Linked DNA regions of Coturnix japonica. The main gene of each other region encodes a partner of the protein of the gene in region 2 in a complex. Links are inferred from orthologs where the notes say so. Each region holds a gene or a part of one and is shown on either strand. Other genes may lie near its edges.

Region 1 (5,863 bases), on a different chromosome or scaffold from region 2:
TAGAACAATAAGAGGCCTTGATGGATTTGTATTCCTTCTTGCCTGCATTCCCCCTTGCCTGCATTCCCTATTCATCTCTAAATGGCTCCTGCACCAAAGTCCATCTAACGCAAAGCCAGCTCCAAATCAGATTTTTCCCCACAGCAGCGCATCCAAGAGGAGCCACAGAACCCATGGAGAGATGCCAACAAGCACTTAAGAGCAACAACAAATCTCCTTTTTCCTGACAGCAGTTCCTCAATTTTGATTCGGACAGCCTCCAAACTTCCCTGCCTCATTCTCAGGCCACGGAGGCTCTCGGCCATATGTTACAACAAATTGAAGAACAGAAGAACGAAGGCTGTGTAATTAGCCAGAGCCCTCATCTCCTGCATTAAACAGACCTGCATGCAAATGCGAGCCTGGCCAACAACCACATCGATAGATGACTAAAGCAGCTCCCACATCGCAATTAAGGTTTGTACCCAATAAAGGAAGATGGCAATTATTTTAAAAGCTGCAGGCACACAGATATTAGAATATCTCGCTCCAGAGGAGGGGGGGGGAAAAAAAACCTCATGAAAGGAGTGGGGGGAATATTTCAAAGCTTCGAGCTTCCAGCTCTGAGCAGAGCCTGCAGATCACCGAGTTGATGCACTGTTGGATGAGAGTGAGCCAGATTCAGTGACAGACTGCAGGCTCTCGCTCCAGAAAGGTCACCCCAATAAAAAAATTATGAGCAATGTCTAAAATTATCCAAAGCTGTTCCTCCCCCCCTCTCTCCCCAGGCCCCACTCGACTAACAAAAGCTACTTTGCGTGAGCTGTAAGCGTGCATGAAATCAAAGAGCTCCCACAGCACGCCTGCCACAAACTTGAGAAGCACTTTGCTGTGCGGTAATGGAAGTCCCCATGTGTGCTGACCCACAGCATTGCTGGGACCCCAGCTTCCACTGTCAGCACGGCAGCCAGTCTGCAGGCTCTGCTGATATCTGCTCTTGTCTTGCACCAAACGCGGCAGCTGCAGGAGGTGCTGCTGATCCTGCACCGAACCCCAAAGTGCAAACATCACCTGAACGCTTCTCACCTGCTCCAGGATTGGCCATTCTGCAGATGCTGGGCTGCCTGAGCTCCTCCATCCCTGTGCTGTCCCCAGCTACCCCACAAGGAAGTCACTCCCAGGCAGCACTGGCAGCACAAAGTTCGTATCACCCACCTTCACCCAGCAAGGCCAGAGCACTCCACTGCAGAGCAGGTGAGCACCACAGGGACCACAAATGGGAAATACCACAGAGGATGTGGATGCAGTTGCAGCCAAACTCTCCAAGCAGCCTACAGGAACTGGTTTACAGCACAGAAGTTGAAGCTTCAGCTGTTTTCCCATTCAACCAGCACTCATGAAACCCTGCAAATTTGCCCCTATTGAAAGCTTTACAGAAACCTAACATTGAATGAGATATGTTTCCCCTCCACCTCCAACCAAGGGAAAAATCACACTGTTCTCCACCTATGCAATTTCTTCTCCTGCACAGCAGGTAAACAGTAAGTACCAATTTGAGACAGATGATTAATTAGCTTGCCCTAAACTGCCAGCAATGTAAGGCTGAAGAACCATACCTAAGAACACAAGCCCTCTGCTACAGTTTGGCTGGGATCAGAGTGGACCAAAACTGGAGGGCAAATCTGTTTTGGGGGGGTAGTTCTCTGCTGTGCTTTAAAAAGAAGTGAACACAGGAGACAGAAATGTTTTACCTTGAAAATAGGTTATTGTTCCCAGGTATTCCCCCACTTCAGCACTTTGACAGACTAATCTTTCAGCTCAGGGAGCTGCTGGATCCATGGCACAGTCACAGAAGGAGAGGGAAGTGCCCACATCATGGAGCAAGTTTAGATAAACTGTGCATCACATCTGCACAATTCAAGTTGCAGGGCAGATAACTCAGGGTCAGCTCACAGTGACTTACTCCTCTCAATCACTTAATCCCTTGGAGTGTGTCCTTGCCCTGACCACCCTGGGTCCATCCCCAGGACACATCTTGGGTTGACGGTCACCCAAACAGAGCAAATCCCCTCCTGCCTTCAAGCTCAATGCCACAGGATGACCCTGGAACACCAGCTGGATGGAAAAGAAATATCTCATGAATAAACATGGCATGGCATAGCACCAGTACCCAAAAAGACTTGTTCAGAGAAGTAGATTTCCATTTTCCTTGGTTTCATCTCTGACCTTCATCCATGCCTTGTTCTTTCCTGGACAGCAGAACAGCACAAGCACAGAAGAAAATGCAGAAGTGAATTACTTCCTCCCCTCCAGCAACATTCTGAGGGTGCAACACTCATCCAGAAGGAGCACTTAGCTGGTCTTCTATGCAAAAGAAAGGACGGCCCATAGAACAAGAGGCAGAATATCATTGGCCACACTCACAGCAAATTGATCCAGGAAGGATTGGTATGCCAGGCAAGCACGCTGAGGCAGTAACAAGCTTTGCTGTACAGCAAAATGGAAACATTGTAGATTGGAGGTGAGTGAGTAACCTCAGCTCTAGCTGCACTGAGTCAGGGCTTTGAGCTGCACTCAGTCTCCTGATGGCTGCATCCTCCATTCACTGCTGCTGCTGCACTTGGACTGATGCAGGGACACGCACACAGGCTCCCACCAGCAGAACGCCTCCATATGAGCTTGTGGTGAACGAGTGTTTTTTGACACACACTATTAACCTCCAGATACTTCAGGTTTTTTTCCTAATGGAAAATGCAGCACCCAAGAGCTCTCTCCTCCCAGTGTGGTGCTTTGGGGATATGTTGCACTAAATAATCACATGAAGAGGCTGATGGCAGGGAAGAGAGCAGCGTGGTGATCCCACAAGGCAGCACAGTGGGAGCTGTGGGAGCACAGGTGAAGGTAATTCAGCTGTGCTCCTGGAAGGGGTGGAGCTTGACTCCACGTCTCCTAGATCCCATTTAAGGGCTGACCACCACTAAGGCAGCATCTCTTTCTGGAGATTGCATGGCTGCAGATAAGGGCATTCACGTGAGATGACTGTCTCAAGCTGAACTATGCTCAGACAATATCTTCCCAGCACTGAAGCGCTGCTGTCAGTAACACTCAGTGGCTCCCCGGGGACTATATGATCCAGACCAAAGATACAGGTGCAGATCAACTGCCCTACAACCTCCACAAAGCCAAGATGCTCAGCAGCCCTATGCCAGCAGCCAGGACAAGCGGATCCTCTGACCCTGCCAACACCTCCCATCCCAATGGCACACCCCAACACCACAAGCTCCATCACTCTCACCTAATCCCAGCCCTAAGCACCCCATGGAGCCTGGCCTCACACAATCTTCCATTCATCCACTCAGTCCCACCACCTCAGCCCCCTCCACCCTTGCCGGCCCCACCCCATGTCCCCATTGCCCTGTCATACCTCACACCCAAGGCCCAGCTCGGTGCCACCCGCCCCTCCCACGCCTCTCCCATAGACATTATCCCTTAGCTCCTTATCCCCCTCCCCTCCCTCAGGCCTCACTAGGCCGCAACGCTTCCTCCTCCGCCCCGCCCCGGCCTCATTCACCGACCCATCTCCCTGCCCTACCCGGCGGCCGCGCCCTCGAACTTCAACGTGAGGGTCTCTTCGATGATACGGTTGTTGACCTCGAGCAGGATCATGTCGGTACCGGGGTTGGGGAACCGGCTCTCAGCGCTCCGAGGCCGGAGGGAGCCGAGCCCGCTGCGCGCACCGGGGACCCGCCCGAGCCTGCGCCGCCGCTTCCGCTCTCGAGCCCGCGCGTCACTTCCGGGCTCGTCCCGCCCCCCCCCAACACACACCGCCTACATGATGGGGGTCGGGAGTGAATGTGGGGTGTGAAGGGGGAATGGTGGGGTGAGCCGGAATGGGGACTGCCTACATGTGGGGTGATGGAGTCCCTGTGTGGGATGATGGAGTCCCTATGTGTGATGATGGAGTCCCTACAGTGCCCCCCCAGCGTTATACTAATGATGTGAGAGCGCCCCAGGATAATATGGGGTGTCCCCGGAGCACCCATAGGGATGGGGTGAAGCCCCATGGCCAGCAGAGCCCCACGAACCCCCCCCAGCCGTGCAAAGCGGGTGTGCTGTGCCCTGGGCTGGGGGTGCAGGGAAGGTGTCCCCTCTGCTGCCGCTTCCTCTTCGTGCTGCAGAAGGTTTTGCAACCTTGCTTCCTCCCTGCGCTGCATAAAGCGGCAGTGCCAGCTCTGAGCCTGGCTCACTTGGTGCAGGTGTGGGACCTGCTGGCACGTCCCCGTGCTCCCCAGGGTCTCCGTTTTGGGGTAACATCCCGTGGCAGACCTCAGCCGGGCTTGGAGCTGGGAAGGGGAGAAGATTTGGGGTGCAGCAGAGGCGGTGAGTGCGTGGGATGCTTGGCTATGGGGTGCCATGGGGCACCCTGCTTACCTGGGCAAGGGGTGCAGGGAGGGCTCTGCATAGCATAATCTGAGCTCCACGTAGGGTAACCCCAACCCTGGGGGGAGCTGATGTCCCCAAGTAGTTTTCTGCGTGGGGTCCAGGGAGGAAATGGAGACTTCCCCTTCTGTGGGCAGAAATCTGTCCCCATAGGAACTGCAGGGAATTTGGGTGGGGAATCGGAAGGAGAAGCCAAAAATATAGTGGGGAGAAGCGTGTTTCCTCTGCTCTGGGTACTGTGGTGCACTCGGGGAGCTGGTGTGAGAAGGGTTTTTGGGGAGGACATCAGGATTCAAAGGACTCACACCAACCGGAGGGACTCAGGAGGGATCCTTCATTGGGGCTGAACCTGGAGGGGACAGTGCTGAGGTGAAGCAGTCCACACGGGGCTGTTGGGCAGGAGGACGTATGGGGATAGTTTTCAGGCATGAGCCTGTTCATTGTATGGTGTGGTGAGGTTATGGGGTGTGGGAGAGCAATGGGGGCTGGAAGTGCTGGATGTGCCCTGAGCCCACGTTGCTTTGTGCTTTGCAGGCAAAATGGGGACATTTTACGCCGATGAACTCTTCGATATCTTATACAACTACACTTCTGACTATGGCAACTACAGCCTGGTTCTGCCTGACATCGATGTCTCCTCTTCCCCATGCCGTAATGAAGGTTCTGTAGCCAACAAATACTTCGTAGCCTTCATCTACTGCTTGGTCTTCCTCCTCAGCATGGTGGGCAACGGGCTGGTGGTGCTGGTGGTCACCTCCAGCCACATGAACCGCTCCGTCACCGACATCTACCTGCTCAACCTGGCTGTGGCCGACCTGCTCTTTGCCCTCAGCCTGCCGCTCTGGGCTGCCTACTGGGCCCACGAGTGGGTTTTTGGCACCGTCATGTGCAAAGCCATCTCGGTGCTGCAGGAATCCAACTTCTACAGCGGCATCCTGCTGTTGGCTTGCATCAGCGTGGACCGCTACTTGGCCATCGTCTACGCCACCCGCGCTGCCACTGAGAAGAGACACTGGGTGAAGTTTGTCTGCGTGGGCATCTGGGTGTTCTCGGTGCTGCTCTCCCTGCCTGTGCTGCTGTTCCGCGAGGCGTTTGTCTCAGACCGCAATGGCACAGTTTGCTACGAGCGCATTGGAAATGAGAATACCACCAAGTGGAGGGTGGTGCTGCGGGTGCTGCCGCAGACCTTTGGCTTTGCCTTGCCGCTCCTGGTCATGCTCTTCTGCTACGGTGTCACCGTGCACACCCTCCTGCAGACCAAGAACGTCCAGAAGCAGCGTGCCATGAAGGTCATCCTAGCTGTGGTGCTGGTCTTCCTTGTCTGCTGGCTGCCCTACAACATCACGCTGGTGAGCGATACTCTCATGAGGACGCATGCCATCACTGAGACCTGTGAGAGGAGGAAACACATTGACACAGCCCTCTCCATCACGCAGGTCCTTGG
Region 2 (4,719 bases):
GGGCAGCGGGTGCTGCCCTGCACGTTGGTTTTGGGGTCAGCATAGGATACATCCCGCTTCCTTGCTCACTCTCCCTCGGTCCCACTGCAGGGGAGGGAGTGGAGCAGAGCCGGTGATTCATGGCCGATGGCATTTCCCGGCCACGCACAGGGGATGTGGGAGAGAACAAAAAGGGCTTTCTGTGATGGGGCTGCAGTGCAGGCCAGGATGAGGCCAGCGGGCACCAAACACCCACAGCCATCCCAGCCCATCCCTCCCAGCAGAGCCCTGGGACTGGGGCACAGCAGAAGTTGAGCTGTGGGGTTTGGGGGAGGTGTTCCCTTTTCCCCCAGCACAGTTTGACACCAGAGCCCAGTGCTGGGGCAGGACCCTACTGTGCCTTCAGGGCTCTGGGCACGGGAAGGGCTGTGCTGGTGACAGGGATGCATCAAACCTGGGCTGACCCTGCGAGCGTGGGGCCGTCAGAACTGCTTTCACCCCACAGAGATCGCGCTGTGCCCCAATAACCACGAGGTGCACATCTACCGCAAGGACGGGGCCAAGTGGAGCAAGGTGCACGAGCTGAAGGAGCACAACGGGCAGGTGACAGGTGAGTGCATGGGGATGGACGAGCTCTGAGGTCAGTCCCAACCCCACTCAGTGACACTGGTGGCCTTGGGACAGGGGTTGTGAAGGAGAGGAAGGGCTGTGTCTGGTGTTCCTGGTCCCAATTCAGTGTGTCAGGAGGCACCCGGGGATGGGATGATAACATTGTAGAAGGGTTGGGATTAAATTGACTGGGGGAATATAGCAGAGAAGGACTCAGGGGCAGAGAGCAGCCACATCCCCACCTCCAGATGGCCCCCTCATGCCCTGTCCCCATCCACACGGCTCCCCCCACATCACTGCCCCCCCCACCTTCCAGGCATTGACTGGGCTCCTGAGAGCAACCGGCTGGTGACATGTGGGACCGACCGCAATGCCTACGTCTGGACCCTGAAGGGCAACGTCTGGAAACCCACCTTGGTCATCCTGAGGATCAACCGGGCTGCCCGCTGTGTGAAGTGGTCCCCCAAGGAGAACAAGTTTGCTGTGGGCAGCGGCTCCCGGCTCATCTCCATCTGCTACTTTGAGCAGGAGAATGACTGGTGAGTGGCATTGAGGTCACCATCCTGCATTGGGTGGGGATGGATGGAGGGGAAGGGGTCGTATGTGTGGGGAAATGAGGGTGTATGTGTGGGGAAATGAGTGTAGGGGAGATGGGTGGATGGGGAGGTGGGGGAGAGGGATGAGAGGTGAGATAGGGGAGTCATTGAGGAGACGGAGGAGGAGGCAGAGGAGGAGCCTGATGGAGAGGTGGACATAAGTGCTGCAGGACCTAAGAGCTGGGGACACAGCACTGTCCCCATGGCCCAGCTGCTGACACAGGCTGGGAGCCAAGGGCAGTTCCTGGGGGCCCCAATCACCCCCAGACTGTGGTGTGAGAGCCATGGACTGTACCCGGGGGCTTTAGGGGCACCAACGCCGCTCTCCCTGCAGGTGGGTGTGCAAACACATCAAGAAGCCCATCCGCTCCACAGTGCTCAGCCTGGACTGGCATCCCAACAACGTGCTGCTGGCTGCCGGCTCCTGCGACTTCAAGTGCCGGTGAGTGGAAAAGGGGGGACCCCAGGGGGCTCTATGGGGTGAGCAGGGATGGAGCTTGTTCCACGGCGATCTTCTCCTTCCCAGGATCTTCTCAGCCTACATCAAGGAGGTGGAGGAGCGGCCCAGCCCCACGCCCTGGGGCTCCAAGATGCCGTTTGGGGAGCTGATGTTTGAGTCGAGCAGCAGCTGTGGGTGGGTGCACAGCATCTGCTTCTCAGCCAGCGGCAACCGAGTGGCCTGGGTGAGCCACGACAGCACCCTGTGCCTCGCTGATGCCAACAAGAAGATGGCGTAAGCAGGGCTGGGGCTGCAGGGGGATCTGGGGGAGTTTTTGGATGGGATGGGCTACGCAGTGATTTGTGGCTGCCCACGCTGGGGAAGGCAGCTGCTTTTCTGTGGGCTGGATGGTCCCCAAAATGATGCAGGGGTGGAGCTGGGATGGAGCTGGGGTGGGGGTGAAGGGCTGAGTGGAGCCGGGTGCAGGAGGAGGCACAGCCTCTCCTTGCAGCATCACAGCCCCACTCCCACGTCATGAGCTGTGCTGTGCTCAGCATGGTCTCAACTCACTGCTCACACTTTCTCCCTCCCTTTCAGTGTTGCCTCCCTATGCACTGAAACCCTTCCCCTCCTGGCCGTCACCTTCATCACTGAGAGCAGCCTGGTGGCCGCGGTGAGTTGGGCTGGGCTGAGGGCGGGCAGAGCACGAGGTGATTCTGAGCAGGACCACCACTTCATCCCCAGGGCCACGACTGCTACCCCATGCTGTTCACCTACGAGGAGGGCTCGGGCACGCTGAGCTTTGGAGGGAAGCTGGATGTCCCCAAGCAGAGCTCCCAGCGTGGCCTCACTGCCCGCGAGCGCTTCCAGAACCTGGATAAGAAGGCGAGCTCTGATACAGCCAACGCTGCGCTGGATACAGTGCACAAGAACAGCATCAGGTGCTGATGGGGCATCCGTGAGAGGGGGGAGGGTCCGGGGCTGCAGTCTGACCTCCCTCCCCTGCGCTCCACAGTCAGATCTCTGTGCTGGTTGGGGGCAAAGCCAACTGCTCGCAGTTCTGCACCACGGGGATGGACGGTGGCATGAGCATCTGGGACATCAAGGTGAGGCCCCTCCCGAGCCCCCCAACCACATCAGTCCCTCCTTAGCCCCAGCTCAGTGTAATCAATGTCCCCATTGATTACAGTCTGGGGTCTGCACAGCTCCACTCACCTTAGGAAGTAAAAAAATAAGGCAGTTGTTGAACAACTTCTTGTTTCAGAGCCTGGAGTCGGCACTGAAGGATCTCAAAATCAAATGAAGGATGCAGCCAGGAGGTCCCAGCCGCAGCTGCCCCGCTCTGCTGCTGCACTGCTGCACTCCCTCTGCCCCGCGCTCCCGGCTGCCAGCCAGCCCTGGGCTGCTCTAACACAGAGATAAAGGTGGTTGTTGGTTGGGTTGTTTTTTTAATACTATTTTTGTTACCATCCTAACCGATGCTGGTCATACATCGCTTTATGAATTCAATAATAAAGATTTTCCCATATAAATCCAATGTTTTTTTCTTCTTTTCTTTTAAAGCATTTTAATGTGAGTACATGTGATTACAGCATGCTGCAGGGTTTAATTGCATGTGCTCAGGTTAACACGGCTCCTGGCAGCCCCTCCATGCAGTGCAGCCCCTACACTCACAGCCCCAGGACGGATCCTTGCTGGCAGCACTGGGATGGAGATGTTTGAGTCACTCCATGATTCCGAGCTCTGGTCCATCCTCCCACAATGGAGCTGTGTTCTACTGGGCAAAGACCTCTATGTGTCACCCACCCCAGTGCACCTGAACCAGCCCCTTTCTCCCTCCCCTCCTCCTGTAGGCCCCAGCCACCTCCCTTTGCTCCCAAGGCTCACCCCAAGTTTCCACCTGATCCTCTGACACCACCTCAATTCTCGATAAGGCTGAGAACTGCTGGTGCCCCACAACCACAATGTACCAGATTAAAGCATCTTCTGCCAGCTCCACGCTGTGGCACAGCCCAGGGATGGCCTAACACACTGACTGAGCCCAACAGCAGCCTGAAGGTAATTGTTTCCTCCTCTCCACTAACCAGATGGTGCAAGACGTCCATCAGAGAAGAGCAGGAAAAGCTTCTTGCCTTCGGGCTGCAGCTGCTGATAGGGCTCCCAAACCCTGAGCCAAACTCAACATCGTGAACAGCAGAGAGAAGCAGCAGACACAAGAAACCACTGCAAGACCACACTGTGCTGCACTGTGTGTTCTATCAGTTCACTTACACAAGGACATGGCAGTTCTGATCGTTTACATTTTAATCAGCCAAATATACAAGTTCAGTTGTTTTTCCTTTCTTTTTTTTAACTTCATCAAGGTGGGTTTGGGCTTTTTTTCCATCTGGGTCCAATACAATTCATGATACATATACCTGTTTTCCTTTAAACAAAGGATAATGTGGTTAAAAACTGGCACTATCCCTAATCAGGTGAAGAAAACAAAAAATAACCAAGAGGAGAGAAAAGGGGGAGAGAATGGCTGTGAGAAAGGAGGGGTGAAAATGGGAAGGAACAGAACAGCCCAGATGTCCATGAAGTCAGGCTCCCAGATTACACTGCAACACCCTGCAGTAAAAGTTTAAGGGCTGTCTGCCCAAAAGAATTCCACAGATACCTTATCCTTTGGGTTTTCATGAGCAAGTCAAAGCTCCCCACCCCACGCACCCCACCCCACAATGACCCCACAATCTATTTTCTTGCAGTCTAATAGTTGAAGCATCTCCCCTCCCACACAGCTCCCTCCTCCCCATGCCCCCTCCCATCCCATCCCACCCCCCATTCCCGTTCTATGAGTTTTTAGACCTAAAAACAGCAAAAACATTCAGGTTTTCAAACTGTTACAGAGAATTGCTGTTCAGCACAGTTTTGCACCGAGGATAGCAGCTGCCCCTAACCCCAAATGGAAATTGTGCCAGGATGAAGACAAAACACATTGTCAGTGTCTCTTGGAGGTGAAGGTGACTTCGATGCCGCAGTACACCCTACGTGGCATCTATGGTATGCAACACGACAGAGTTCCTGGCAGGCACCAGGCACGGATCCCTGGCGTTT
Region 3 (5,646 bases), on a different chromosome or scaffold from region 2:
TGCAACTGTGAAGACCATAGCTCCCTCTTAAATAAGTAGCACAGACAGGATCTTGGATCACCACGCTTTGATAAAGCAGCATCTGAAAATACCTGCTCACTTTCAGTAGTAGGAGGCAGGAGTTTGCCTTCTCTCTGCCTTAAAAGAAGCAAGCAGGAGAATGTCTTGGCTCCTGTACGTGATAGTCAGAATATACAGGAATACCTTTACTCTTTTCCCACCTTTAATGTTAAAAGCAGTCCAAGAGGAGGTTTCCATAGTATTTCAGTAGATTGGAATCTCTAATCAAGATGGACCAGCATCACTTCAGCTACTTCCTTCTTCTGGGTCCAAAACTGATGGTTGTCTTGCTTCGAGTTAATAGTCTTTAAACAGTCTTTCTTGCTGTAAGAACTCTTACTATGGAACCTAGTCCACCTGCTGCTAATGCCTGTGGGGTGGGAGAAGGAGACAAGATCAGTTCTACAGTCACACACGGCTTACGATGAAACCTTCATTGTTCTTAGCAGCCTGCAGGGCTGGCAGTGGTTCTGCTGGTACAACTTGTGTGTTCCGTCACACAAAGCGCACGCTGTATTTGTTAACTCCTAAGCAATGTTTTATGCTAATTGCTACAACCAGAGCATCAGTTCTCAAGTTGTTCCACCCCTCTGTACCTGTGCAGGTACCTTCTGCACTGCTAAAACCTTCAGCTTCCTGCAGTAACAAGTTCTACATTCACACACTTATTCCTTTGCCACATTTCAGCTCCTTGCCTGTTCCTGTCTTGGGCCATGAACTCGGGAGCTCTATGCCCCCTGTCCTCTCTGAACGTACAGATGAGCTCCTTCTTTGACCCAGGTTTTTGCAGTACATACACAGCGCTACTCTCTAAACATGCTATAAATCTAAGAAGCAAGGAAATGAAGGGTGGACAAAACAGCTCATTGTAACACATCCCACCACATCTGAAGGCTAAAGTACACAAAACCTTATGAACTGACTTGCATCTAGTGAAGGACACCGATGATGCAGAATACCTTACACTCCTGCTCCTGAATGGGGAAAGGAGGAAGGGCTTAGTCTGGTTTCATTTGCATCCTTAATAAAAATGAAACATTCTTCTAAAGTCTAGGAGGAGATGCATGTAAGTGAGGGCCGCAGAGGAGCTGCTCAGATTAGACCTGACGGATGCAGAAATGGCATCAGGCCCTTCCAGGGGCCAGGCAGGTGCTGCTGAGCTGCTGCCCACAGTCAGAGTGAGCTGCACGTCCTGCCTGCACTGCTGGAAAGCAGAACACAAAGCTCTAAGCAGCTCCCTGCACACTGCACAACTGCAGCTTTCCTTTGAAAACAAAGGGGAAGAGATGCTTGCACGTGTCTACGTGTTCTGAGCAGTGACTTCTTTCCAGTCAGGGCAGTCTTGTGTAATGTTACGTACTGGGAGTATCAACCTACGGTGACCCAAAAAGAGCCTCCAGTAGGAAGAACAACACAAAATGTCAAGCACAAACATGTTCCTTCCTGTGCAATTTCCTCCCCCTCCTGCCTATCGATATTCTGCAAGGCTGGGGACAGCTGCCAGGAGCTGGAGTCACCATTGCACAACTTGTTTTAACTCATCACAAGGAAGCACGCCCTGTGCAAATGACCGGCCAGCAGCCAGCTGTGAGCACAGCACATACAGCCCCCCTCGCTGCGACCCTGCCACAGAAACGCCACTAAGTGCCACTGAGGCATCAAAGCCTTTACTGTGCAAACTGAGCAGGTTTGCTATAACTGGTCAGCTCGGATGTACTTCAGCACAGCGTTTCACTGACAAAAAGCATCACATCTGAGCCATCCTGGGCACCCCATGAGCCAAAGGCACCTTCAATCAATCAATCAATCAATCTCACCTCCACTCCCAGCTGCTGCTCCTTGTGGGGGAAACCACCACCAGACACAAGTCATAAACCTTCCTGCAGCTGACGCTGCTCTGCCACACCCACCCCTCCCATCCCTCCAGGCTGAGGAGAGCTCTGAAGTACCACAGAAACTCCATACGCCCAACACCAAGAGGCCAAGAACAAAAGGCAGCACCGAGCTCTGCTCCTCAGGGAGGATCCCCCTCATCGCACACCTCCCCATCCAGGAGGTCCTGAAAGCACCGACAGTGACAACAGAGCCCAGAGCAAACACTCACCTTTTCATGCCATTGGAGTAATATTGCACTGCTATTTTCTGTCGGCTTTTCAAATCCTTTATAAATATACTTCATTAACAAGTCAATCCCGTTTCTGTCTAAGGAGTTCACCGCTTGTTCAATTTCACTGCTCTTAAAAGACGTGAGGACTCTGAGCATGGTGCCCTGCGCCTGCTCCTGCACAGGAAGGAAAACGGCATTAGGATCAGCAAAGCTGGATGTGACCCCAAGTGCAGCAAAGCACTCGGAGCAGCGGCTGCGCTGATGGTGTGAAGATGCAGCAGCCAAACAGGAGGAAGTTTTACACTTTAAGTTTCAGTAGTGAGAAGGAAGAAGAGCAGAGAGCTTTAAAACTGGACTTGTTGGTGTTCCCACCTGGGGGGAACCACCTGAACTGCACTGCAGAACAAACCTACAGCCCGAGAACAACGAACAACGTCCGGCTCCTGCAGCACAAGATCCCCTGGGCTGTGCTCTGTGCTCCCTCTCAGCCCCCGGCTGCTGCCGGCCGCGTTTCCCCACAGCACGGGCCGCTCCCCGGGCACACAGCAGCACCGGGCCGTCCTACAGCAGCACCGCGACACCCGCACACAAACCGCAGCGCCGTCCTTCAAGAGCAGACGGACGGGAGGTGCCATGGAGCACAAGGTCAGCGCCGGGGGCGCCGCTCGTTACCGGTCCCGGGGCCGCACTCACCTTCATGGCCGCGCTGCGCGTCTGTGCGGGGTTGTTCCTTAGGGCCGCGTGCAGCGCGCGCAGCGCTTCGCCTCTACGGCGAGAGTCAAGGAGCAACGGCGGCACCGGGAGCACCGGGACGGAGCGATAAGGGGAGGGGGCAGGGGAGGAGGGCGCTGCAAAGCGGGTACCTGAACTACGGCCACACAACGGCAGCGGGGAGGGACGGGACCGGGGGCAGCACGGAGGGCAGCACCAAGCAGCACCGAGCAGCACCGGGCAGCACCGGGCAGCACCGAGCGGCACCGGGCGATACCGGGCAGCACCGGGCGATACCAGCCAGCACCGGGCAGTACCGGGCAGTACGGGGCAGTACCGAGCAGTACCGAGCAGTACCGGGCGATACCGGGCAGCACCGGGCAGTACCGAGCAGCCTCAGGCCGCGCTCCCGCCCCGCAAACCTTCCCGAGGCCCCGCGGGCAGCGCTCGGTGGCCGTGCCGCCATGAAGGATACTGCCTCAGCAGCGCCTCCACCTCGGGGCTCGCGTCGGGTTCGGCCGCCGCCGCCTCCTCGGGCTCCTCCACGAAGCGGTTCTCGTCGTACTGATCGATGTCCAGGCGGCGGAAGCGGGACGAGAGCGTGCTCCGCGCCATGCCGACGGAACCGGAACCGTCGGAACCGGAACCTCCCCCGCCGCTCCGCCGGAACCGGAAGCGCGGAGCCCGCCCCGCCCGGAGCAGGAAGGAGCGGAGCGGAGTGCGCCCCCCCGTCCCGTCCCGTCCCGTCCCGTCCCGTCCGGCGCCACGGAGCGACACGGCGCTGAAAAACCACAACGAGCCTTTAATTACAAAGTGGGCGGCGGCACCAACGGCCGCGGAACTTTGCTGCTGAAATCTCGTACATCTACGGGAGACGAACGGAGCCGCACGGAGCACCGGGAGCAGCCGAACGGCGCCGCTCAGCGGAGAAACGAACAACGAGCGGTTCGGATCCGCACAAATGGATCCGGGGGAGGGCGGGGAAACGGCTGCGCAGCGCAATGACAACGAACGGCGATAAGTTAAAGATAAAAGGCAGAGGCGGCATCTCAGCAGCAAAGTGCTCAATAAAAAGTATATTGTAGGGCGGGGGCGGCTCAGAGGAAGTAGGGGGTGGTTGTCCGGGGAGGGATCACCCGCTCTGAGTCTGGGACGGCGCGGAACAGCCTCGGTTCTCTCGTATTTACGTCCTGGAAGACCATGATGGAAGCGATGTTCCCGCAGCGATAGCAGTAATTGGGAGCTGACCACACCGTTACCAACTTCTCGTCAAACATGAATTTGTAGCCTTCGTGAACCAGCTGATGTGCTCTGCAGATGAGCTTCAGGTTGTTGATGTGGACAAACTGCAAAGAAAAGTGGCGTGTCACAGCTCTGTGCGTGGCCGCGCAGCAGCTGCTGCCCAGCAGAGCTCCTCAGCGCTGTGTGGGCCCAGCTCCGGGCTCAGCTCTGGGCTCTGCAGCGCTGACAGCACTGACCCACCCGGGAGGTTTTCCCAAGGCCTCTGAGAGGTGCAGGCTGTGCTAAGGACACTCCCTGTGTCCCTGTGCTCCCAGCACAGCTCTGCGGCCCCAGCCATGTGTGCCCAGCACCCCCACAGAGCTGGGACTGAGCTGATGGTGCTGGGAGCAAACCGCTCCTGTCAGAGCACAGAGGGCAACTTTGGGCTTTGAAACCTGAACAGTGAGAAACACTCCTGCCTGTGACAGCCGTGGTGCCTAGGCCTGCACTGCCCACGCCTTTCAATCCCTCCTGAATATGCTGCAGAGGAGCAGAGAACAACACACTGCATGAGGCAGGGATTCATCTTAGGGCCGGTTCAGAAGCCTGGGAAGTTCAGTGGGTCTGAGCCTCTTACTATGTTGCAAAGTAACAAAAATTAAGTCAAAGCTAGTATTTCTTCTTCCAAATCATTAGACAAGTATTCTACACAAAGCCTAGTAATTCTAGTTAGTCTCACTGCATTACACTTTTTAAACACAAGGTGTGCATTATCTCACTTGGCACTTTATGAGGGGAAAAGAGTATGTCACGAGAAAACCTCCCTCACCTCCACACCAACTCAGTCCCCTCACAAGGGAAGTTCCTTAATCCACTCGTCACTACAGTAAAGTCAAACACTTCATCTCACACCTGCAATTATGGGACGCAGCACAGGACGGCATCGTTACCTCATTTGTCACCTTAGCACCAAACAGCCAACCCGCCCCTCGCGGACTGATGGCCCACGTATCCACATCTTCTGGATCAGACCAAACCAGGTCACAGAAGGCGCCTTTATGAGGAATTTCTTGATTACGTTCAATGGTGCGAATCTGATCGAGTGTCTTGATGTCCGGAGACAATCCACCGTGCACACAGAGAATCTGCTCATCTATTAGCTGGAGAGAAAAAGGAACACAAAGAATGCTCAGTATTTCAACCAAACCAAGAACCTCTCCAGCACCACCCTCACCACCACCAATTCTTCAAGTTATATTTAGACAATCTACCTGTATCTTTTTTAAGGTGTTTACACTTACAGCTGCTATTGTGAGCATGTCAAAGACTTTGGTGCAGTATCTCCAAGCATTAGCATTTCCGTATTTGGTTTGGCACTCATCTGTTAAATAGAGAATTTTTTTCTTCTTAACAGACCAGAAGGAATTCAGGCAATATGATCAGAGTCAAACAGAACAGAACCTAAAAAGGCAGATGTAAACCAAAAAGCAAACAGACAAATAAAAAACAGCTGGGAGCAACCGGTGAGCACTGGCTGGAAAGCACTG
Region 4 (5,836 bases), on a different chromosome or scaffold from region 2:
TTAACTACATTTTTCCTATTCCCTAAGTTTATATCTGGGATTCTGGCAGCGCTCAGTGCAATGATCTCTTTAGAGATTCCACAAATTAACATCATGACCAAAATGGATTTGCTGAGCAAGAAAGCTAAGAAGGAAATAGAAAAGTAAGTCCCAAAGCATTACTTAATCTGTAGGGTAATATCTTGATGTAAACTTCACTCAGAATCACGGAATGATGGGTGGCTGCGGTAGCTGTGTTAAAGGATAGTGAGTCATTTGTTCTTTACTTCGTTAACGATGGCTTTGTTTCTCCCAGGTACTTAGATCCAGATATGTATTCTATGATTGAAGATTCTACTAATATACTGAAAAGCAAAATGTTTAAAAAACTGACAAAGTCCATATGTGGATTGGTACGTATAGTGCTCTTTAACTGGTTTTAATTCAGCCACATACCTGCAAACCATGCTGTGTGGTTACTGACCTCACTGCTGAGCTAGATACTGTATGCACTATAACATTCTCCCCCTGCCCCATGAAGCCATGTGTCTACCTGCAGATTTATTAGCAAAGCCTGAATCTAAAAGATTACCAGGCACTCAAACATTTTTCCTTTTGCCTGTCCTAACTCAGCTTTTGATGTTTCAGGTTAGCATAAGATTCCTGATAATACTTGACTGTAGCCAGTAAAATTCATGTGAATCATATTCTGTAAGCCATTTTGGGAGACAGCTTTATTGACTGGGTAGAACTTTGGACTGATAGCCAGGAATTCAGAGTGGAGAATTGCCATTAACGTGCAGCATAGCTTTAAGCAGCCTTAGATTTTCCTTGTCCAGACTGCTGAGCAGCAATGATGCGATGAGAAAATGTAGTGTATTTCCCTACTGATGTCTTTTGAATCCTTGCTGTAGATTGATGACTATGGTATGGTTCGATTTCTACCTTTTGATCGCTCCGATGAGGAAAGTATAAACATAGTTCTGCAGCACATAGACACTACCATCCAGTATGGAGAAGATCTTGAATTCAAAGAACCGAAGGTAAGATATTTCTGAAGATAAGATGAAAAATTAGAAAGGATCCACAATAGAAATCATAATATAATCATGTTATTTCAATGTTAAAGGTTGGAAAAGATGATTGTATGCCACTAAGATCTTCTTAAAAATTCAGTTTCCTACTCTCAGGATATGCAAAATAACCACACCTGGATTTTGATGTATACATATGGGAGAGCTTTAGAAACAAACTGCTGTTCAGGAAGTTTTGCTACTTGTTTTATAGAACTGCACTGGACATTGTTGTGCTTATTAAAATAAAGCATTGCAGAACTGACAGCATCCAACAGTCACTAGAGAAAAGTCAGGTATTACGTTTTCTGTTTTCTTGTTGCAGGAATATGAAGAAGATAAATCTGCACTCGTGGATGAGTATTTTCAAGATCACGTGAATGAGTAAAAAGCAGATGCTGGAAAAGAGGAAGAAAATGCATCGCTTGTGTGTTTTAAAGAAAGCAAAAACCATCCACCTCCACACAAACATATTTATGTGATGTTTTGCCTTTAAGATAACTAACATCGCTAGTGAGAAGTGAGCTATATGACGGTGTATACGACAGAATATAGTGAGCTGTATTACTGTTAATAGTTCTTTTGTAAATACAGAATGTTCCTGGACTCTCGAACGTTCTCAAAATATCTTTTATTATTATTTCTCCTAAAATATATTAATCCAATTTATTAGCTAATTTCAGCTGAATTGGAGGATGCTTTTCTTCTAGTCATATCCAAGTATTTATAAACCTTTCCTTGATCCTAAGGAACGAGTTTTATTAATGATTATTGAATAAAAGTGTTTTCTAAAAAGGGCCTTGTGGTGACGTAAAGCTTAATATCAGTAAATGCTCATATATAGGCGTGTCATCTTTTTCTATGTATTATATAGTTCCCAGGATTTGAGCCTATGTGTAGAAGAGCAGCACTTCTACCACTTGCGCCACAGGGGGGATTCAAACCCAGTAGAATAAGAGCATCTAATGTCATTTTGTTGGAGCGGCTTGGTAAACCAAACCAATGATTGAATACTTTGAGGCAGTGGCAGTTATCTAAACCTGAGGATATGACACAGCTACTCCCAGCCCTGGACAGTTAGGTGAGAGTTCAGGGTAGTCATTGCCATAACCAGAAAGAGGTTAGAATTAGAGAACACAGCTTTTGGGGACGCAGCTTTTTAAGGACTCCTTGCAGCCGCCTTTTCCTCCAGGCTGAACAGCCCATCTCCCTCAGCCCATCCTCACAGCAGAGGTGCCCTTTGCTCACGGAAAGGAGAAACCCAGCCCTTCAGCTTCAAATCTCCCCATTTTTTCGGCCTGACTCAAGTGACGAGGAGGTGGAGGGGGGGCAAAAGGGGGGCAAATGGGGCACTCTGCCTCACAAGGACAACAGTTCCCTCAGACCCAGCGCGTAATGGGGGGGGGTCAGTTCTGTGCTTCCCCATCAGGGAGCGGCTCCTCGGGGCGGTACGGGCTGTGGCTTCCCCCTGTCGCACCGCCCCGCTGCCTCATTTCCTGAAGGAAGAGGAAGATTTGCTACGAGCTCAGCGCCGCTGCCGTCGCACCGAGCTGCGCCCTGCCCTTCGCCATGCCGGTGAGCGGAGCGGGGCAGGGGGAGGGAAGGGGCAGGGCGGGCGCTGAGCGCCAGGGACGGACTGGGGGCGGATGAAAGGGGGGCTGTAGCCGGGAGCCTCGCACTGATGAGCGGATCGGTGTGGAGGGACCTGCCGCCTTCCTCTTTTCTTCCCCTTTTTTTTTTATCCCGTTCTGACCTCACAGAGTCAGCCCCCCCCCCCCCCCCGTGGCACCCAGCCGGGCGGCAGGAGTGCATCTGGGGGAACCGCACCACAAGGCCACACCAGAAAGTAGCACATCCCAGTGCTTCTTATTCACTTACATCAGTTTTAATGCACAGAAAGGCCTTTTGTGTGTGTATGTGATAAGCCTGGTTTTGGTTATTATTTAGATACTGACAGGCTGCTCTCAGCTCTCCCCACAGCCCTCTCCAGGCTGCACAGCCCCATCTCTCTCAGCCTGTGCTCTTCCACCACCACTGACAAATGGTTCCAATAAATGCTTTTGTGCTCATCGCTGGAATGGTGCTGAGTTGCAGAAGGCCTAAGTAAGAAATGACCATTGTTTGTGCAAGGAAAGGTTCCTGGAAGCACCACAGAATCACAGAATTATCAAGGTTGGAAAAGACCTAGAAGATCATCCAGTCCAACCATCACCAATACTTCCCAGTTAAATCATATCCCTAACAAACCAAACTCTGTTTTAACAGGATAAAGGAAGGGCAATATTCTGCAGGAATAATAAGCAGTCTTCCCTTGTCTCTAGGCTTACCATTCAACTTTAATGGACTCGGATACCAAGCTAGTGGGGAACATGGCACTGTTACCCATCAGAAGCCAGTTCAAAGGCCCAGCACCTCGAGAAAGTAAGTTTATAAGAATATAAGTGGTGCCAACTAGAAAAAATGATGATCCCATGGCTGTTATCTGGCACGGCTCTGGGTAATTCAGCTGCTTTAGCAATTAACACTGCCTACAGATAGTATTTTCACACTTCCTCCTGTGCCTCTTTTCAGCAGGCTGTGAGGATGTGGTGCTATTAACCCTTTGCTGTCAGAGGAAGTGGAGGTTTAGCTGCAGAACTCAGCTTTGGTGCAATAGCTGAGGATGCTTAACTGTGGCAATTCGGTTTGAAAAAGGAAATATTTCAGAATTCAAGCATGTTTGTAAAAGAAAGTGAAAGCTGCAGGTCAACCTGCCACTATGTAATCTACCCTTCCTCTTCTTTTTTTCAGGAGAATAATGAGGAAGGTTGTTTGATTGTGGTGTTAATTTCTCCCAAATATATTTTTGGGCCCTCAGAAAGAGTTTTAACAGTATATTCTATATACTGTTGCATATATATTATATTCTATACTGTTATACATATTAATATACATATATTAATATGTTCTATACTGTTAAAACTCTGGTGAGTCACTCAACTGGTAGGATATACCAAAGAACTGCCAACCTGCTGCCCTTTGTGAAGTCATGGGAAAAGAAGGGAGTTAAAAGTCCTACTAAGAGTAAGAAACTTAAATGGTTTGGTCAGAGATCACCAGTCTTTCACACGGGTAAAATTTACCATAGTCCTCTGCTTCTTGTAAATGATTTTGCTTTTGCAAGAAACACTGTTTGTGTACTTCAACATGTAAAAGTTATGACCAAATGTGTAGCAATGCACTGCTTAATTTTGGTTTTCTTTCATTTTCTTTCTTTTGCTTTAGCTAAAGATACAGATATTATAGATGAAGCCATCTACTACTTCAAAGCCAACGTTTTCTTCAAAAATTATGAAATTAAGGTATTTTTTTTCTGCAATAATTCCTTTCCTATGAGGAAATTGCTGGCACAAATGCCATGAACTCGTTCCTATTTCAAACTGTTAGCAGTTCCATGAAGTCCCTTGTAGTCTAACAGACCGGGCTCTGTGCTTACTCTTGTTTTGCAGAACGAGGCTGACAGAACACTGATCTACGTAACTCTCTACATTTCTGAGTGCTTGAAAAAGCTGCAAAAGGTAAGGAGGGAAACAGTCTGTTCTGGGGATTATACTCAGGAGAGTATTTGCTGGTATTCATCTCCTAAAGGCACAGCAGACTCTGTTCACTGCAACCCCAGTTTACAGAACCACAAAACAAATACTTGAGGCTGTGGTTTTGCAGGGACACTGCACTGCTGTTCTTGATAAGTCTTAATGGTTTAGGGATTGTAATCAATTGTTTGGTTGGTTCTTTCAGTGCAACTCTAAAGGCCAAGGAGAGAAAGAGATGTACACGCTAGGAATCACTAATTTCCCAATCCCTGGGGAACCTGGCTTTCCACTTAATGCCATTTATGCCAAACCTACCAACAAGCAAGAGGAAGGTAAGACTTAACAAAGACCCCTAAAGACTTGCTTTGGTCCAAGCTTTACCAGCTGTGTTTTTGCAGTTACAACTAGAAAACTTCTAGCTCTGTTTTCTGAGGTCTTCTGATCTTATAACTGCTAGATAGATTCTGTAACAGAGCTCAAGCTAACTCCTACACTGGCAGAGAGGAAACCCATAATGATGGGCAAAGGCTTAGCTGAAAGAAGAAAACAATTGAGATATGTTTTACTCATACAAATATAACAAATCCAAGTATGGCTGTAAAATGAACAGCCAGCAAGGGCCTACAGATGTGAGAGCTCACATTTCTTGCTGTAGGCAGTGATGTCCGCTGCCTTCACACTCAGTTTAGTTTGCCTTAATGCTACTTTGTCCTTGTGCTGTATTTCAGAGGTGATGAGAGCATACTTGCAGCAGCTCAGGCAAGAAACTGGCCTTCGACTTTGTGAAAAAGTATTTGATCCTCAGAGTGACAAGCCCAGTAAGGTAAGGATTTGGCCTAATGATCACAGATTCAATGAGAGGCTTGGTTGCTTTCTCCAAAAGATGGAGATGCATGAATTACATCCTGGTCTTGTATTTCATGTGCAAATATATTTGCATTTCATCATGAAAATTATTCAAGCTAATTTAGTTCCAAAGGCATAGCTTTCTGATGTTCATTATTACACTGCAATAAATATATTGGAATTGGTATTAAACCTACTTTTAAGTCACTATTTCATTTATAAGATAGAAACATCTCTTGCCTGTTTTCTAACTGTGTGCTTTCTTCTGCAGTGGTGGATCTGCTTTGTGAAGAGACAGTTCATGAACAAGAGCCTGTCTGGACCTGGGCAGTGAACAGACAAAGCAGCACCATGAAGCATTTCCAC

Evidence for each region.
Region 1: ARPC1B (region 2) and ARPC2 share a complex: the UniProt entries of both Homo sapiens proteins name them as parts of the arp2/3 complex. The link is inferred for Coturnix japonica from reciprocal best matches to the Homo sapiens genes ARPC1B and ARPC2.
Region 3: the proteins of ARPC1B (region 2) and ARPC5L are in contact, whole or in part, in a cryo-EM structure (PDB 6YW6), measured with the Homo sapiens proteins. The link is inferred for Coturnix japonica from reciprocal best matches to the Homo sapiens genes ARPC1B and ARPC5L. Residues at the interface, in NP_005711.1 of Homo sapiens: Arg118, Lys138, Arg142, Phe164, Ser201, Gly203, Trp204, His222, Asp223, Ser224, Thr225, Leu240, Ala241, Ser242, Glu243, Thr244, Leu245, Pro246, Phe281; in NP_112240.1 of Homo sapiens: Asn21, Lys22, Arg102, Gly139, Leu140, Gly141, Ile144, Arg145, Thr148, Arg150, Lys151.
Region 4: ARPC1B (region 2) and ARPC3 share a complex: the UniProt entries of both Homo sapiens proteins name them as parts of the arp2/3 complex. The link is inferred for Coturnix japonica from reciprocal best matches to the Homo sapiens genes ARPC1B and ARPC3.

The regions. Positions count from the first base shown.
Region 1 is NC_029522.1:24,164,143-24,170,005, reverse strand, and holds the start of ARPC2 (actin-related protein 2/3 complex subunit 2), read right to left. Parts: upstream 3,772-5,863; 5' UTR 3,646-3,771; coding exon 3,572-3,645; intron 1-3,571. Other genes in the region: C-X-C chemokine receptor type 1-like, read left to right, coding at 3,870-4,359, 4,954-5,863. UniProt on the Homo sapiens protein: Actin-binding component of the Arp2/3 complex, a multiprotein complex that mediates actin polymerization upon stimulation by nucleation-promoting factor (NPF).
Region 2 is NC_029529.1:4,413,196-4,417,914, forward strand, and holds the end of ARPC1B (actin-related protein 2/3 complex subunit 1B), read left to right. Parts: intron 1-484; coding exon 485-589; intron 590-904; coding exon 905-1,127; intron 1,128-1,518; coding exon 1,519-1,626; intron 1,627-1,710; coding exon 1,711-1,917; intron 1,918-2,220; coding exon 2,221-2,296; intron 2,297-2,367; coding exon 2,368-2,564; intron 2,565-2,638; coding exon 2,639-2,729; intron 2,730-2,887; coding exon 2,888-2,926; 3' UTR 2,927-3,160; downstream 3,161-4,719. UniProt on the Homo sapiens protein: Component of the Arp2/3 complex, a multiprotein complex that mediates actin polymerization upon stimulation by nucleation-promoting factor (NPF).
Region 3 is NC_029532.1:8,068,549-8,074,194, forward strand, and holds the start of ARPC5L (actin-related protein 2/3 complex subunit 5-like protein), read right to left. Parts: upstream 3,542-5,646; 5' UTR 3,494-3,541; coding exon 3,354-3,493; intron 2,934-3,353; coding exon 2,861-2,933; intron 2,342-2,860; coding exon 2,165-2,341; intron 431-2,164; coding exon 368-430; 3' UTR 1-367. Other genes in the region: PPP6C (serine/threonine-protein phosphatase 6 catalytic subunit), read right to left, coding at 3,976-4,224, 5,050-5,259, 5,401-5,480. UniProt on the Homo sapiens protein: May function as component of the Arp2/3 complex which is involved in regulation of actin polymerization and together with an activating nucleation-promoting factor (NPF) mediates the formation of branched actin networks.
Region 4 is NC_029530.1:4,512,075-4,517,910, forward strand, and holds the start of ARPC3 (actin-related protein 2/3 complex subunit 3), read left to right. Parts: upstream 1-2,492; 5' UTR 2,493-2,621; coding exon 2,622-2,627; intron 2,628-3,373; coding exon 3,374-3,473; intron 3,474-4,316; coding exon 4,317-4,393; intron 4,394-4,540; coding exon 4,541-4,609; intron 4,610-4,829; coding exon 4,830-4,956; intron 4,957-5,352; coding exon 5,353-5,447; intron 5,448-5,741; coding exon 5,742-5,804; 3' UTR 5,805-5,836. Other genes in the region: GPN3 (GPN-loop GTPase 3), read left to right, coding at 28-143, 296-392, 894-1,022, 1,378-1,440. UniProt on the Homo sapiens protein: Component of the Arp2/3 complex, a multiprotein complex that mediates actin polymerization upon stimulation by nucleation-promoting factor (NPF).